2 linked regions of the Drosophila melanogaster genome follow. The protein of the gene in region 2 interacts with the protein of the main gene of each other region in a pairwise test. Each region holds a gene or a part of one and is shown on either strand. Other genes may lie near its edges.

Evidence for each region.
Region 1: the proteins of CG14454 (region 2) and Pig1 interact in a two-hybrid assay, tested with the Drosophila melanogaster proteins (one large-scale study listed by BioGRID).

The regions. Positions count from the first base shown.
Region 1 is NC_004354.4:3,248,100-3,251,045, forward strand, and holds Pig1 (Pre-intermoult gene 1), read right to left. Parts: upstream 1,191-2,946; 5' UTR 1,135-1,190; coding exon 616-1,134; 3' UTR 501-615; downstream 1-500. Other genes in the region: Sgs4 (salivary gland secretion 4), read left to right, coding at 2,015-2,878.
Region 2 is NT_037436.4:22,691,039-22,694,437, forward strand, and holds CG14454 (uncharacterized protein), read right to left. Parts: upstream 1,491-3,399; 5' UTR 1,475-1,490; coding exon 1,112-1,474; 3' UTR 636-1,111; downstream 1-635. Other genes in the region: CG12546 (uncharacterized protein), read right to left, coding at 2,398-2,751; CG14453 (uncharacterized protein), read left to right, coding at 3,064-3,399.

The DNA of each region.
Region 1 (2,946 bases), on a different chromosome or scaffold from region 2:
GCTTGAAAGCCAGCCATCGATAAGTCATCGACACCTGTTGAGATTTTGACAGGCATTTTCCTCCACACCAACGCACACCAACGCACACCACACCACACCACTACACACAGCACATTGTTGTAAAAATATTGTTGCCTAGTTTGCAGCACATTCAATGTGCATTGTGTCCATAATATTTTGTGATTTCAAATTGAAGCTCGTCGATGGGCACCTATTGTTCTCGTTTAGAGTGTAACACATATTTGTTTTGGTTTTGTTATGTCTGCTTTTGTTGAAAAGTGCTTGTCCATTGGAAATAATGCCTGTATTGTTACACTTCAAATGTATGTATCTCTTTAATATGTGAGAGCATAGTCTTTAAATAGTCATCAGCATTTTTTGTCTCAAATTTTTCGTGTTTACCCACACGAATTGGTCATGCAGATTGCATTTGTTAATTTCAACCGAATGGGGTTTCCTCGGAATTTTTTCGATCACCAAAAAAAAAATACAGTGTTTTTCGTGTGTGTGTTTTCGAATCAGACCAATGCACCAATCAATTATTGAATCATGAACAAAAAAAATATTTATTATGCATATAGTCCACATGTAGTTGTTGTTTCAACCATTTTCGCTCTAACCACGCCTCCTGGAATTGTTGTTCCTGCGCCTGTTGTTGTTGTTGGATGCCTTCTTTTTATTGTTGTTGTTGGACGCCCTCCTTTTGCGATTGTTGTTGCTGTTGGCCCTCTTCTTGTTGTTGTTGTTATTGTTGGCCTTCTTCCTATTGTTGCTAGCTCTCTTCTTGTTATTGTTAGCCTTCTTCCTATTGGCCCTCTTTTTAACAACTGGAGCTGTAGTAGGTGTATCATAATCCGTATCGGATCCAGAATCAGTATCATCATCGGAACCATCGTCCACATCGGAACTACTGCCAGAAGCATCATCTGAGGAACCGGAACTGTTCGTGGCACTGGACTCCGTGGTTGAGGTTACTATCGATCCGGATGCGGTTGTATTCTCATCGGAATCGGCGGATGAATCCGAATCGGCGGATGAATCCGAATCGGCATCCGAGTCCGTATCGGCACTCACAACCAGGGTAACGAAAAGCCCCAGGCACACAAAAAGCAACCATAACTTTGTCAACTTCATTTCGACACTATATTCTATTTGACTCTGAGGGATCCGATAATGCTATGTCGCAATTTATAGTAAAAGCTCCAGACCACGTTTTATTTACCCAAGCGAAGGCCAAAATTAAGTCAAATATCAAATCTCTCAGAACAAAAAAAAAATGGTTGAAAACAATAGAGCTGGTGATTGGTCTCCGCGATGACGGCAATTGGTTGGAAAAATGTGTATCTAATTGGCAAATGACAGGGTAACTGGAATGATCCTAGTTGAGTCTTGTCTATGTCTAACCATCGCCACAAGTAATAAAATTTGTTTACCTTAGTAAACGATTTGAGCAAAACTATTTGATTTGCTCACACAACTAGTACACGCAATTTTTCCACAACTCGATTCAGTCAAAAAAAAATAAATAAATAATAAACAAAATAATAAACAAAACCACGATCAATATGGAAGACTGCAACAGCTGCGGTTAAGTAAACTAAAGCTGGTGCTCGAGATAAGTTGGTTTAAGCCAACCCGCCGGTCCAAAAATGGAAAACATACCTTTCTATTCTGTAAATATTTGTGAAAGACAAGTTCGAGGCACCCGCACTGTCCTACACTTCACGAACATATTAATAATAATTTTTGATTCCATATATATTGAATTTAATATTAAAATCATTAAACAAATGGGCTTTAATTACAATGCGCAAACAATTTCAACAAGTTTATCATGATTCAGCATACCCTTAGCTGAATTATATTTGTATATCGCTTACTTTTAGTTTCTTCATTTTAAACCGTAGAAATTGTTATTTTTTTGTTGAGTGTATCTTAAATTGTTCGATGTGTCGATGGCAAAATGCAGTGGGTATATAAAGCGCATCACGCGGTATTGAATTCCAAAGTCAAGATGCGCTTGGAGTTGTTGGTTGTGTTATTGGTGGGGCTGGCTGCACTTGCCCCGTCAGGTTCTACATGCTGTAAAACTGAACCACCGAGATGCGAAACCGAACCACCGAGATGCGAAACCGAACCGCCAAGATGCGAAACCGAACCACCAAGATGCGAAACCACGCCACCCACATGCAAAACTGAGCCACCCACATGCAAAACTGAGCCACCCACATGCAGAACTGAGCCACCCACATGCAAAACTGAGCCACCCACATGCAGAACTGAGCCAGCCACATGCAAAACTGAGCCACCCACATGCAGAACTGAGCCACCCACATGCAAAACTGAGCCACCCACATGCAGAACTGAGCCACCCACATGCAGAACTGAGCCACCCACATGCAAAACTGAGCCACCCACATGCAGAACTGAGCCACCCACATGCAAAGCTGAGCCACCCACATGCAGAACTGAGCCACCCACATGCAAAACTGAGCCACCCAGTGAAAAGCACTGCACGAAACGCATCAAGCGACACCGCACAAAAAGAACCAAGCGATCGAAATCCACCAAAAAGATAGTACATCATCATAACCGTCCAGGAACGACACCAGAATCGGGATGTGGCTGTGGATCGAAAAACGAATCGGGCGGTGGAGGAAGCGGATGTATTTTGAAGGACCTGCTAACACCGAAGTGCCCCGATTCCAAATCGAAGTCTCAAGCTTCGTGCAAGCCTGCACCCAAGTGTAAATCCGACCCGAAACCGAAAGCCGCATCGAAAGCCACATCTAAGCCAAAGCCAAAGGCGTGTGATTCAGGCAAGAAGAACACCACCAAGAAACCGCGGAAGACTCAGCCACAAAAAGGTGGTTGCTAAACAGCAAACTTGACTCAAATGTCGTTGAATATGAATAAAATCACTTTTTTTTTTTTGAATATTATATT
Region 2 (3,399 bases):
ACCACAATTAGTGCAAAAACAAGTTCCTTTTCTTGTTCAGGTTTAGTTACTCAAAATGTCTGAAGGATTTGTTTAAATGGGCATTAATCTACGACTCCTTTAAGATTTCGCATGCCACAGCAATTTAAAAAAGGGGTTCGGATCTGAAGGAAATAATCTGATGGAAAGAACACATTTTTCTCCGTTTTGTGCTTAGAATCGGCATTGATGGCAGAATGGCAATCTGGAAAATGACAACAATAAGGGTTGGCCCAGCCTAACGTACTTTACCTTTTGGCTGGCGGCATTTTGCTTATTTTCGTTTCCCTCAATTGCTGCCCAGTCTGCGGACGAAGTTCCCTGAAATGCAATTTTGTAGCGAGAAAATCCGATAAAAAATTTCTTCAGCCTTCAGAGATGGCGGCATTCTCTATGCGTCTGATCTGAGCAATTAATGGGCACAAAGAAGCAAATGTGGATTCGAATATTGTTAACAGAATATAACCCCAATCTTGAACTGCTTTCAAGCAGTTATGCAAAAAAAAAAAAGACCAAAAAACATCGATTCCCCCTGTCAGTCTCTATGTTATCCTTGGCTTTTTGAAACGTCTAAGAATATGATGACGTGCCGTCACCAAACCGCACTCTTTATATATGCACACATTCAGCGTAATTTTTATTCACATCCAATAGATTTAAGTATCCAGGGCTTGGGTGGCTCCATCACTTCGTGAACAGCAGCACATTTATGCACAGTTCAAAGACCAAAATGAATATTTTATTTGATTTGATTCCAGGCGGGCTGACTGCTGAGCTTGGCTGCAAGAAAAGCATTTTCGAGCGCTCAAGCTCTGGTATAATAAACTCCAGGGATAGGGCCAATTGTCTGCCGCCTTGGAATTGCGCGGATTCGCCGCTTGTCGGATAGAATATGTAGATGTGCGTGGGAATGCCTGTGGAAACGTCTTAAATGCTCTAATGCCCACAACGAAACCTTGCTCAACGCTGCAGGCATGCCTTCTCAAAAATACCTCCAAAGAAAGAGATCAATCTAATAATCTGATTAGTTGGTGCAGCGCTTATATTTCTATTGAACGGCCGAAGATTCTATCTTAAGGGACCAAGCCCCCACTTATCCCTGAAGCTGATTGATCAGGCGACGCTGCCTCACCAGCAGCTGCTCCATCCTGCGCCTCCTCTTTTCCTGGCGCTGTCTCCGCTCCTGGCGACGACGGCGCTCACGAGCCAGGCGACGACGGCGAGCACGTCTGCGCCTCCTGGCCTCCGCCGAGGAGGAGGAAGAGGAGGCAGTGGTCGTGGTGGATGCGGAGGAGGCAGTGGTGGTAGTGGTGGTGGCGGATGAAGCCGTGGTAGTGGTGGCAGAGGAGTCGGTGGATGTGGTCGCCGTCGAGGATGTAGATGTGCTGCTACTGCCCTCCTGAGCCAGGAGCAGACACAGGAGCACGCTGAGAAGTAGAGCGAATAGGAAGCGCATTTTGTTGTGTCTAATCTAATCTAATCAGACGGCCTTTTATACTCAATACGGGGTAACAATTAAACAAATATCATGTATCGGAAATCGGAAATGTGTGCACAGCCTATCCAGCTCGTCAATGTCTTGGGCTTGTAAGGTCAACAGAGTAAAAGAGTCGATCGATATATTATTGATAGTGAGCCGGGTTTAACTCGTTGAAAACGAGATAAAAAGGTAATATTATAACGCTTCTTACGCCTAATTATGTATGGCGACCACGTCACGTCTGAAGGAAATATTTGGTATAACCTATTTATGTACATTCACATCTTATCTGAGTAAAAATCGCAGCACTTGACGAGTTAAAGGTGTTTTATTTGTTCTTCATTTGAGCTTTGCGTACCCAATTAACAGTTTTGTGCTGTTGCATTTTGGCTTATATCCATTTAAGTTCTCCGAAATTAGAGATTTATTTTCCAAAAAAACAAATACGTGGTTTACATTATTTTTAAACCAAACACAACAAAGATGTGTATAATTATATTAATTTTATACCAGTTACCGATTTCAAAATTCGTCTCGATTTGAAACAGGCTACTCCTGGAATGAGACTAAACTAGATTTGTTGAAAAGTATGTAACAGGCGTTTCCGACCCTATTAATTATACATATGTATATGCTTGATCACTATTACTCCGTCTGTCCGAACGAATGTCTCGACCTCAGCAACTCTAAAAGCTAGAGAGTTGAGAACGTTGAACTCCCTCAAGCCGCTTAAATATGCCACTCCCACACGTTTTTGTGCTCCAATAAAGTAGAATTATCAGAATGTACAATCAAATGTTTTATTATCTTGGCGAACTTGAACAATGAAAGAATTTAGCTTTCACATATTTACAACAGCTTTTCCTAAATTGTCATAAGCCGAGTCTTTCCGAAGACCTTCATCCGCTCAGCTGGTTGATCTGTCGACGTTGATTCTCCAGTTGCTGGCGCAGCCTCTGAGTCCTGCGCTGCCTTCTGCGCTCCCTTCGTTGCCTCTCACGCGCCAGACGACGGCGACGGGCGCGCCTGCGCCTCCTGGCCTCCGCAGAGGAAGAGGATGAGGAGGAGGCAGTGGTCGTGGTGGATGCGGAAGAGGCAGTGGTGGTAGTGGTGGCGGACGAAGCCGTGGTAGTGGTGGCAGAGGAGTCGGTGGTTGTGGTCGTCGTCGAGGATGTAGATGTGCTGCTACTGCCCTCCTGGCTAAGCAGGAGGCATCCTAGGACGGAAAGAACAATTACGATCGAGAAGCGCATGCTGAATGTCTTTGACGCATTTGAGACGTTACGCATGTTTTTATAGCAAATTTGAATAATGGTGGTTTACCAAAAGCGTGTAAGCTAATAGGTCTGCTGGATTGTTAGCTTTAACTAAGGTAAATTTTGGTAATGTTTATTCAGATTGAGAAATTATGTGTGCCGCCATATAGTTTAAACGTTGCTCTTGAGTCTTAACACACATAATAATGTAATAGATTTACGGTAATGAGCGCGTTTCTCAACCAAGTTTCCGGGTTCAACATCATATAAATAGGCTATTCTCCAAATCATAAGATATAACTGCTTAGAATGCGATTCATATTTGTTCTGCTCTTGGCCCTTCTCGGCTGCCTCCTGTTTGCCCAGCAGGGCTGCGAAGCTACGGGAACGAGCACTGAAAGCTCCTCGGATAGTACCAGCGCCTCGGACACCTCCACTACCGCGTCCTCTTCCTCCGACACAACTGAAGCCTCAACGTCTTCCGACACCACCACAGTGGCCTCGTCTGCCACGACTACCACCACTTCTTCGTCCTCGTCCTCGTCGTCGTCCTCCAGCGCGGCCGCCCGTCGTCGCAGGGCCGCCGCCCGTCGTCGTCGCTTGGCCCGCCAACGGCGCAGGCGCCAACAGCGCCAAAGGCGCCAA